Xenopus tropicalis: one gene and its partners. The protein of the gene in region 3 interacts with the protein of the main gene of each other region in a biochemical or structural test. Links are inferred from orthologs where the notes say so. Each region holds a gene or a part of one and is shown on either strand. Other genes may lie near its edges. The genes, in order: rps6ka1, scn5a and ptpn3.

Region 1 (4,111 bases), on a different chromosome or scaffold from region 3:
AAAATTCTCCCTTCAGAGCTGAATCGGCAGAAGGAGGTAGAAATCCTATTGTTTCTACCTCCTTACCTACCGATTCAGCCCTGAATGGTGTGTGGCGGATCTTACGATGTTTCGTGCGACCGATGGTCGTACGAAACATCGTCAGATCGCCACGTGTATGGCCACCTTAAATCATGGAACAACAAAGTTGGTGAACAGGGTGCTATGCTACGTATATACATCCATAATGAAGTAAACCTGGTTTTTAGTATTGCTCTTAATTTTGACACCCTTAGAAATTATGCAGAAGTATAATATGAGGTAAACCTTTTTCCCCTTCAGGTGACCTAACTGAAGGAAGAAGTGTTTTAATTTTGACTGTCAGTAATCAGGAAATGTTTATACACGCAGTGCCTCAAACATAAGAACTAAAGTGCAGTTGCCAACTGCAACCAATCATGTCTCTTTCTAACAGTAGTGGACTGTTGAAATCTAATTGCTGATTGCACACAAAACACCACAAACACAAACAGTATTTGAGATGCATTAATTTTCTCTGACAGTCAAAGCTATTAAAGCAGATAGGTATTAATGGCAATTTGCTTTTTTGTAATGTGTGCGTGGTTCATAGTTTGTTCTTTTTATAGCTAGGAGACATACTTTCTTTATCATGCTGAACTGGGTGCGCCTGCGGAGCGATATCTTTTTTTCCATGTTTAGCTAATCCTCCCCCTTGATTTCATTTAACCAGTGTATAGTGTAAACCTTTGTGCACCACTGCCGTTAGCAATGCAATACCTTCTAGTTCTGCACCAGCAAAATCAACACACAGCACCCTGAAATGTTAAAATTTACTCTCTGCCCTTTGCTTTAATAAAGAAAGTGTAATATAATGTGGGGTGTTTTAATTATTGTGGTCTAGTGGAAAGAATCCACTTCAGCATATACACCAAATATATATTTATAAAAGGGAATGGCTAGCGAGTTGCCTAGATAGTGCTTCTACATTTAAGTACTTTCTTAACTGAACAAGCTCAACTATTGAAATAGTATATAAAGGTGTAGGATCCCTTTTCCGGAAACCCGTTATCCAGAAAGTTCCAAATTACGGAAAGGACATCTCCCATAGACTCCATTATAAGCAAATAATTCTAATTTTTAAAAACAATTTCCTTTTTCTCTGTAATTATAAAACAGTACCTTGTACTTGATCTCAACTAAGATATAATTACGGTAATACTTACTGGAGGCAAAACAATCCTATTGGGTTTTAATGACGTTTAAATTATTTCTTAAGGTCCCCATACACGGGCCAACTATAGCTGCCGATATCGGTCCCTTGGACCGATTCGGCAGCTAATCGGCCCGTGTATGGGGAGAGCCGAGCAGCCTGGCCGACCGATATCTGGCCTGAAATTGGCCAGATCTCGATCGGGCAGGTTAGAAAATCCGGTCGGATCGGGGACCACATCGGCTCGTTGATGCGGTCCCCGATCCGACTGCCCCATTGCCGCCCACATAATCCGATCGTTTGGCCCCAGGGCCAAACGATCGGATTATTTTTTTTTTTACCTAAAGGCTCCCCGATATCGCCCACCCGTAGGTGGGGATATTGGGGGAAGATCCGCTCGCTTGGCGACATCGCCAAGCGAGCGGATCTGCTCGTGTATGGCCACCTTTAGTAGACTTAAGGTATGGAGATCCAAATTACAGAAAGATCCCTTATCCGGAATGCCCCAGGTCCCCAGCATTCTTGATAACAGGTTCAATACCCGAACCTGCATTCCAAATATTTTAGATGTGCTAATCTTTAATTCAGTTGGGATCTTTTTTTTTTTTTTTTTTTTTTTTTTGAAGCATTAAGGAAATTTAGTTCATGTTCAAGTCACACTGTGTTCTAAGGCACACAAGATCTTACAAAATGAATATTGTATTAAAAAGGGATTTATTGCAATATAGTTATTGAAATAAAAGCTCTCAATCTCTCAAAACATAATTAATGAACACAAATGTCAATGTATAGGAGGACATCAACCTGCGTTCTACAGCTGCTTGCTAACTACAGTCGAACTGTGGGGGACGGCTGGAACTGCAGATTCAGCAACAGGTGGATTGCTACAGAATACAGTTCCACATTAAATATATACCAAGATCAGTCAATGGCTGTTGATCAGCGGCTTCAACAGCAGGAGGGATGTGCGACCTGTGACCACAAGTTCTGCAGTAGGGAAACATAAGATGTGCAGCCTCTAATTGAATTCCGCGGTGGGGGGCTCAGAAATAGTAAATATACACCACCTCTGAAAGAAGTGCATGACTGAAATTGTGACGAATATCGGCAGCCCATAAAGAGCTGAAGGCCATCAGGTAACACGCACAGTCTTTCTCTTATGAAGAGACGCAAGAGAATGCGGCAGCAACACATACACACGAACCCATGCTATTCTAAAAGACCTATTCTAACCGTAAGTAGCTTTGATTGGTTGTAATCAGAAAACACTGCTACCTCCCCCCCTCCAACATTTTCTGACTGCTTCAGCTTCGAAACCTCGTCCGCAACTGACAGTTCTCACCTCCGTCTCCTCATGAACCACCTCCACCTCGGGCCAAAGATCCACTAGTTGTGCCAGCGGCATCTTCAACGCGTTCTCTCAGGTGCTACACAACGTAAAGCAGGGACACCGCTGCGCACCCTGCACGGCTTGAAACGCAAAATAATTAAATACGAAGATTCCAGCTTTCAGTCACTGTTTAAGTTACTATCGACAATTATTTATGATACGTAGGGTCTGCGTAGTCCAGGTCCTTTTTTTCCGCTATAACGCCTGCACCTCTCGCACTTAGTCTACACTACTCGGTGTCCGGCGACAGACTGACCGCTTGACTCCTCCTAACTCACTGACAGAAGGGCACGTGCCGCCCTGCCCGCCTACTATTGGCTCCTCCCGGTTTCTAAGCTGTCAATTGGCCCCTTGTTCAGAAAAGGCGGTGTTTCTGGTACTAACCCATTCCGCATTCCCTCAGGTGAATCTTTGCTTTTACTACTCCGAAGATTTAAGCGGGAAAGAATGGGCAACGTTTCGCTAAGTGCGCCATCTTGTGGCATGAGGCGTAAGAATAGTACGGTTCTGAGTGAGACAATCGCTTTTATATCTTGTACAACACTTAGGGGTACATTTACTAAGACACGAATCTGAACCGAATTGGAAAAATTCCGACTTGAAAACGAACATTTTGCGACTTTTTCGTATTTTTTGCGATTTTTTCAGCGTCTTCACGACTTTTCGGAAATTGTCGCGACTTTTTCGTTACCAATACGATTTGCGCGAAAAAACGCGAGTTTTTCGTAGCCATTCCGAAAGTTGCGCAAAATCGCCCGATTTTTTCGTAGCGTTAAAGCTTGCGCGAAAAGTTGCGCAACTTTTAACGCTACGAAAAATGGCCAGATTTTGCGCAACTTTCGGAATGGCTACGAAAAACTTGCGTTTTTTTCGCACAAATCGTATTAGTAACGAAAAAGTCGCGACATTTTTCCGAAAAAATCGCAAAATACCGATCATTACGAAAAAAATGCAATTGGACGCATTCGGCCCGTTCGTGGCTTAGTAAATGTGCCCCTTAGGGGCCGTTCATTAAACCACGCTTTTTTTTTTTTTTTTTGAGAAAAAAAAAAATCAAAATTTTTGTAATGCCCACGATAATTTCGTTAAAATTCCACAACTTTTTCGTGGGTTTAGTTAACTTCCACAAAAAGTCATATTTTTCACAAAGACTACAACCATTTCGGAATTCATTCAAGCTTTGGTATCGTGACTTTCTTTTGGCCAGGTTGGATCTGTAGAGTGCCGTTGAGTCCTAAGGAAGACTTCCAAAATCATATGTAGCCCACTTTAGCTGGCAGTGCTGCTACTGGTGCCCTCTTGGCTTACTTCTGGCGCAGAAGTCGTGAGCCCCCACTTACTATGGGGGTAACAGGGAGTCTTCACTGTTAATGGCATGCCTCCACCCAGGGGTGATGTGGGACTATAACTCCCACCCTGGGACTTGATATTACACTGTAACCTTTGTCAGGGACTCCACACAACTCCTGGCTCCTTGCCCCTCCCATGGGGTAGTAGCTTACCGGCAAGTA
Region 2 (3,654 bases), about 62 Mb from region 3:
AATGTGATTCTAATTCACGTTTCAGAATGTAGGATTACCATCTTGCGGAGACTCTCCTCATCCATCTCACCCCTGGGGGGCTTCATATCTTCCCCATACTCTTCCGTTTCTGAGGATTTCTTTTTCTTTCTCCTGTTTCTCCTCTCTTTGGCACTTTTAGAGCTAAATGGTGACATTTCACAGGAACTGTGGGATGCAGCATCTGGTCCCTTGCTGGCTAATGCCTGGTTATAAAGGAAAGATAATAAAGTACTTGGCAACTTTAGTAAGAAAAATGAAATGTGCCAATCTATGTGATGGTGGCATTTGGGTAGTTTGGGTTGGGTAGGGCAGTGTTGGACTGGGGTACCTGGGGCTTGTGGGCAGTCAGCAGGGCCCACCTGGATCGGGGGCCACTGGGGTTCTTCCCAGTATCCCAGTAGGCTAGTCTGACCCTGGGGTACAGGGATAGATAGATGGTGTCAAGGAAGATTTAGTGTGTGAGCATGTGCTAACCTCTTGTTCTTTCTTTAATTGCTCCATGGCTTGCTGGAATTCCCTCTCTTTCGCTTCTGCTTCGGCAATGGTGGCTTGGTTCTGCTCTTCATACGCCATAGCCACTACGGCCAGGATCAAATTTACAAGGTAAAAAGAACCCAAAAAGATGACGAAGACGAAAAAGATCATGTATGTCTTCCCTGCTGCTCGGAGAGTCTGAAACAACAATTATATCCTTATAACTTACAGATGGGGATAATATTTTGGTAAAACATAAGCAGTTATAAGGGGAGATAGAAGTCCATGTATGTAAAGGCCATAGCTGATGGGCAGGGTCAGTATAGGTGGGAGTATTAGTTCCCAGCCAGGTAGGGGTGCCTTGGGAAGCAGGGGGGCTTCGGTATGACCCAGTATAGAAGGTGGAATTACTCTGTTCCCTGCTAGCGCTCTCTAAGGAATCAGAAAATCTGCAGAAGGGTCCCCTCCTTGGATAGAATTCAGGGAACCCCCCCTCACAAATGAGGAGCAGACCTGCAATAGCTTAAGTAAGGATTGAAGTTGAGTTGTTAAGTTCATACCTGTTGATATAAGTTCTCCCAATAGTCCTGCGTCATGAGGCGGAATAGGGAAAGAAATGCCCAGCCAAACGTATCAAAACTGGTGTAGCCATAATTTGGGTTTCTGCCAGTCTTCATGCAAATAAACCCATCAGGGCACTTCCTAGAAGGACCAAGGAGAAGCAAAGGAATAAGTCATAGCAGATATATTGGCTTTATACAAAACCTTATAATAAATACAACTCCCAATCAGATTGCAATAGGTTCCCCCACTATAATCCAACATTATTTATTTATAGACAAATATGCTCCCAGTTCCATCTCCTCCTCTTTGTATTCAATTACTATTGTGCAAAGGTGACTGAACCATCATCATCTTCACATAGGCTTAAACATCAGAACAATTGTGTGCCCCTAGATTTCTAGATTTCATTAAAGACATGTCATTCCAAGTTTATTTAGATTTTTTTTTCTACCTACCATATTATTGGGTTACCAAGCCCAAACTGCCATTTTGTGGAGTCTGGCAAATGCCGGAGGGGCTGCTGTAATATACCATAGACAGTCACTATTTATTGGACTAGTGGGGGCCTCTGTGTAATGGAAATGTGAGTTGAAATGTCTAAACCCTTTCTGTAAAGGCAAATTAGCCAATGTTTTCACAGAGTTTAAGTTTCCCAGGGGACGGCATAAAAACCGCATAAATTCCAGGAAAAAATAAGATCCGGGAAAAAAGGGACCGTAAAAAAATGGCGCCATTTCCAGAAACGTAAAATCTGGGTTCTACTGTTTCTGTCAATGTACAAACGACACAATTGGTCTTGCTTTGGAATATTCAGGGTCCTCGCCCCACCCATGTCCCTTTTATATTCCAGAAAAGAGACAGTATTACAATTCCAGAATGAAATAGGTACATAGAATATCAAATATCATAATTGCAAAACGAAGACGTGTGTTGCGTAACAATTAATATTCCATTAGGACAATACTTATTATTTCCCCAAAAGCTAAGGCTAGCTCGCAGGGTAATCACAATAAACTACAAACTAAGAAATGGTAGTAATCTAAACTTAGAAATGGCTCAATTAATTTAACCTAAATGTCTCAAATGTCAGGAAATCAAGTAAATAAAACGTACCAAATACAAAAGAGAGATCCGGGTGTATAAACCCCGGATCTGTCTCACAGTTGATATAGGTCAAATTCCCAACACCATCATATCAGCTCTCACAATGTGAAATCCTAAATGCAAAGAACTCACCGTTGTTCAGAAGTGGTTCAGGTGCTCAGAGCCCCGAACCTGTAGCTGGGGAAGGCGAAATCACGCATATGCAAAAGGGCTCCAAATGCACCGGACACAGCGGCTTGCTTAAAACTCGATTTTTATTACTCCATTTAAAAACAATACGCCTGACGCGTTTCGTGTAAATATACACTTAATCACTATGATTAAGTGTATATTTACACGAAACGCGTCAGGCGTATTGTTTTTAAATGGAGTAATAAAAATCGAGTTTTAAGCAAGCCGCTGTGTCCGGTGCATTTGGAGCCCTTTTGCATATGCGCAGGGTAATCACAGCCAATAAAAGTTAATTCAGAACACACTACAATAAATGAGAGATTTTGGAGAGCGGACAAGAAGCGAATGCGAGGGTCTCTCCAGAGTGGCTGTAGAATAACTCCAGACTGTCTCGCCAACCAAGATTTCCAGTTCTGCTGGGAGCCACTGCCTGCCTAACGGAATGACATTCAGCTTTAGAATGACCTAGGGAACACTGCCATGGGAATGTTGGTGCTGTCAGCCAGAAGCCAGAATCGAACAGAATGTCACATATGATGGGCTCGGCCTTCAGCATTAAAGGCCCACGGACCCCTTTTTTCCCTTTATACTAGTTTAATGGCTAATATTACCATGGCGATTGTTTTCCTCTTACCTGATGGCCAATATGGAGGTGCCATTACCTAAGCTTGCTGTTTCACTGTTGCACTGATTGAGGTTAGGTTTACCATCTTTTTATAATATCTGTACCAGCCAAGTGGGGGGAACGGCACAAATGGGGGTGGATCATGATGCAATAGGGAAGGGTTGTGACATCACAGGGGCAGAGCAACAACTTCAAGTTTCATCATCCAGCATGGAATCCAAAGAGGGTTTGGTGAGTATGAAAGCTAGAAAGGGGCAGGCTGGGAGTGGATTGGAGGCAGGCTGTTGCAAATTCATTATTTATAACAAGTACATTGCCATTAAATTTATAATATTGGCCTTGGTTGGTATTTGGCAACCCAAACTGAGCCGTTCAGTTACTCTAGGTATATAACCTTTCCCATAGCTCCCCTGTAGTGTTATGATTCTCTTAGAAGAAGCCAAACAAGCTTCCTTAAAGCCTTCAATAGTCCTACTATTGTCAGGCCCTCATTTGTGGAAAGTCCACAAAAGACCAGGCCTAGGGCAGCAGAATTGTAGAGGCAGTATGTTGTCTGGGCCCACCTGAACTTGGGACTGGGGGGGGATTATTGTACTGCAATTAAGACGGGAGAGGGTTAGTAAGGGCAAGAAAGTACATAGATGTCCCTGTGAAACCGAACCCTAAGTATAAGCCCCTTACAAGAAGCCCAAAGT
Region 3 (3,654 bases):
CTTTTGCATTTATGTATCCTGTACATGGGCACGGGCATCAGGTGCCAGATTGTGGAGCATAAACAATATTCTGGGATGATACAAAGCTTGTCTTAATAACAGTGTTTACAAAATGGCAGCTGCCTGTTTGCTGTGATTGTGTACTTGCAAGACTGAGGGACACAAGCTTTAACCCTTTTAGTGCCACAGGACGTAGAATCTACGTCCTGTGTATCAAAGTACCTAAGTGCCACGGGACGTAGATTCTACGTCCTGCTGCACTTCCGGATTTGGGAGTGGAGAAGCGGCTTTTCAAGCCGTTCCTTCGCTCCCCGCTCGTTCCCCAGCCTCTAGACAACAGTCAGAGGGGGGGAACGAGTGGCCCCTGGGTCGCGATCACCCAGGGGCCTCATAGGACATACCTGCCATCCACGTGGCTTTCCCCAGCAGTTGTCTCCCTTCTGCAGCTTCCCCCTCTGGCCCCCCTGCTTCCTGCACCGCCCCCTCACATGAGCTGCTGCTGCTGTGCCAGATCCTGACCTTCTAGACCCCAAGTAAGTGGCAAATACACACACAAACACACAATCACACACTTATTACACTAATACACACTTATACTCACACTTACACACACACATGCATTTTTGGGAGGTTTTCACACATTCATAGCACTTACAGAAAACTCACACTTACTTGCACACACACATGCACACAAAACACATTTTACCATGTGTACATACACACTTACACACTGCAGATATTATTAGGCAAAAAAAAATTATTTTAGTGATTTTTTTTTTATTTTTATCAATTTTATTGCTTTTTACATTGTTCTTTGTTACTTGTCTTTGCACATGGACATTTTGTCTGCTGTATTTCAATTTGGCATCCTCTGTACCCCACATAGTTCAGTAAATCTATGTATATAGGGCATCAAACTGTTCAGTAGACCCCTGGCATTCATATTTAGAATGTTTTATGTTGATACGGTACAAAATGTGTGGGTACATAATGGGGTAAAATGCAAGCTTTGTGACAATTTTCAGAAATGTCATAAAAACCGTTCTGTTTAGCATAGCTTTGTAGTTTGGTAGTTTGCAGTAGAAAGTTGTATTTACCCATTTTTGTTTTGTCAGAATGTGTACTTTTGGAAAATATATGGTTTTCTAGGGTGTCCATACTGTTAGGGGGTCTTTGGCACATAATATACATACCGAGTGCAAAATTTGCACGAGCCGGAGCGTCTTATGTGAAAATTCATATGCACTATTTTTATTTGGGTGCCCCTGTAGTTTGGTAAATCTAAGCATATAGGGCATCAAACTGTTCAGTAAACCCCTGGTGTTCACATTTAGAATGTTTTATGTTGATACGGTACAAAATGTGGGGGTACATAATGGGGTAAAATGCAAGCTTTGTGACGATTTTCAGAAATGTAAAAAAAAACGTTCTGTTTCGCATAGCTTTGTAGTTTGCTGTAGAAAGATGTATTTACCCATTTTTGTTTTGTCAGAATGTGTACTTTTGGAAAATGTATAGTTTTCTAGGGTCTCCTTACTGTTAGGGGGTCTTATGGCACATAATGCACATGCCGGTAGCTTATATTGCAGTGTATACACTTTGTATGCACTAACTTCCTTTTGGGGTCTCTAAATGCCATATACATCGGTGATCCTATGCACAATGGGCATCAAACTGTTCAGTGGACCCTTGGCTTTCATATTTCCTTTTGGGGTCTCTAAATGCCATATACATCGGTGATCCTATGCACAATGGGCATCAAACTGTTCAGTGGACCCTTGGCTTTCATATTTAGGGTATGTTTTCTTGGTACCTAATGTTATGTGGGAGATAAGGTGCTTGAAAGTGGAAGATTTGATGTGATTTTCAGGTATTTCACCAAAACTGGCAATTTTGGGAAAGAACTGCGACTCTGTAGTTTGGAGTAGAAAGATATGGGTACCAATTTTGAATTCATCCGAATGTGTACTTTCCAAAAATATATGGTTTTGGGGGGTCAATGTATTTTTTTGTGTTTTTACCCCACAGAAAATGCAGTAAACGTGTTGAATTTCCAGTAGCTAAAGAGACCTCTGGGGCAATTTCTATGCACTAACTTCCTTATGGGGGTCTCTAAATGCCAGATACATTAGTGATCCTATGCACAATGGGCATCAAACTATTCAGCTGACCCTTGGCTTTCATATTTAGGGTGTGTTTTCTTGGTACCTAATGTTATGTGGGAGATAAGGTGCTTGAAAGTGGAAGATTTGATGTGATTTTCAGGTATTTCATCAAAACTGGCAATTTTGGGAAAGCATTGCGACTCTGTAGTTTGGAGTAGAAAGACATGGGTACCAATTTTGAATTCGCCCGAATGTGTAAAGTGGAAGATTAGAGGCGATTTTTTAGAATTTTCATAATTTTTTATAAAAAATGCTAAATTCAGTAAAGCATTGCGGTTTGGTACTTAGGAGTTGGAAGACAGTTACCCATTTCGGATTCGTCAGAATGTGTACTTTTCAAAAATGTATGGTTTCCTGGGGTAAACCTAATGTTTCAGGATTTTTGGCTTTGGAATCTAAAGTATGCCGTATTCTGCTGTAATGCTTTGAAAATGTATACATTTATACATATCAGGTATTGGCACGTTTGGGAGACATGAGGCTTTCCAAATCAGTTGAATTTTTGTCCATAAAATAAAATATGTTTCTGGTATAAATCCCTATATCATGAAAAATAGCATTTTTTTCTTTTTTTTTGTATTTCAAGCTCTAAATCTTGTTCCAGAAGTGGAAATACACAAAAACACAAAAAGCATATTTGGAAAGCTCAGGTTCTCCTGAAAAAACAATATATAGTTTGCCTACCTAAACTTAACCCTGCCCCCAGTAAAAGCCCCTAAATTGAGAGAGCACAGAATGTTTACAAAATGTCTGGCACTGAGGGGAACCGAAATGTCAAATTCTGCTGGCACTTAAAGGGTTAAATAATTTATGTAGCCCAAGTAAAGTTTATTTTCCTCAACTAACATGATAAAATAGGATTTGTAATTATTTCTTAAGGTCCCCTTTAAAGAATATTACGTTGTGATATGCAATATTTGTTCTAAATTGTGCCTTTTTTTTTTTTTTAAAACAAACATTTCTCCAATAAACTTTTCATGCAAATCAAACTCCTTTTATATGGATTATATCAGATCTCTGAAAGCATGTCTTTTGTCAACACAAGACCACATTCTCTATTGTCTGACAGTGTCAAGCACAGCACAACTCTTACTGATGTGGGGGTCAATTAGGTGAATTATTAATTCATACAAAATGATAGATGCTTATTATATTGGTAAATGTTAAACCAAAGATGATATTTCTCAAATTACCTCAAATTGAATGAGCACAACTCCAGTTTCCAAGCCTTTTGAAAGCTGCTCCATTGATCCCTGTAATGTGTCACCATATTCCGAGCAAGTAGGAAGAATTGACGGTGGAAAAAAGGTGAAGTCAGCATCATCTTCTGACTTTGTTTTACCAAGGTGTCTAACAACTATAAGGCAACAGAATAAACACAGATGCTATCACTAACAGACAAACAGGGCTTACTATCATGATCAGTTCAGGACAGCTTGAAATTTTGTGTGAACCCTGTTTTATTTGCATCTAAAGGCTTTAAAATAAC

Evidence for each region.
Region 1: the proteins of ptpn3 (region 3) and rps6ka1 interact in a test that uses a peptide from one of them, tested with the Homo sapiens proteins (2 studies listed by BioGRID and IntAct). The link is inferred for Xenopus tropicalis from reciprocal best matches to the Homo sapiens genes PTPN3 and RPS6KA1.
Region 2: the proteins of ptpn3 (region 3) and scn5a form a complex in vitro, tested with the Homo sapiens proteins (2 studies listed by IntAct, with this or other methods). The link is inferred for Xenopus tropicalis from reciprocal best matches to the Homo sapiens genes PTPN3 and SCN5A.

Annotation. Positions count from the first base shown.
Region 1 is NC_030678.2:77,585,370-77,589,480, reverse strand, and holds the start of rps6ka1 (ribosomal protein S6 kinase alpha-1), read right to left. Parts: upstream 2,895-4,111; 5' UTR 2,616-2,894; coding exon of another isoform or gene 2,567-2,615; coding exon 2,553-2,566; intron 1-2,552. UniProt on the Homo sapiens protein: Serine/threonine-protein kinase that acts downstream of ERK (MAPK1/ERK2 and MAPK3/ERK1) signaling and mediates mitogenic and stress-induced activation of the transcription factors CREB1, ETV1/ER81 and NR4A1/NUR77, regulates translation through RPS6 and EIF4B phosphorylation, and mediates cellular proliferation, survival, and differentiation by modulating mTOR signaling and repressing pro-apoptotic function of BAD and DAPK1.
Region 2 is NC_030682.2:13,563,106-13,566,759, reverse strand, and holds part of scn5a (sodium channel protein type 5 subunit alpha), read right to left. Parts: intron 1,198-3,654; coding exon 1,056-1,197; intron 694-1,055; coding exon 496-693; intron 225-495; coding exon 39-224; intron 1-38. UniProt on the Homo sapiens protein: Pore-forming subunit of Nav1.5, a voltage-gated sodium (Nav) channel that directly mediates the depolarizing phase of action potentials in excitable membranes.
Region 3 is NC_030682.2:75,273,146-75,276,799, reverse strand, and holds part of ptpn3 (tyrosine-protein phosphatase non-receptor type 3), read right to left. Parts: intron 3,523-3,654; coding exon 3,359-3,522; intron 1-3,358.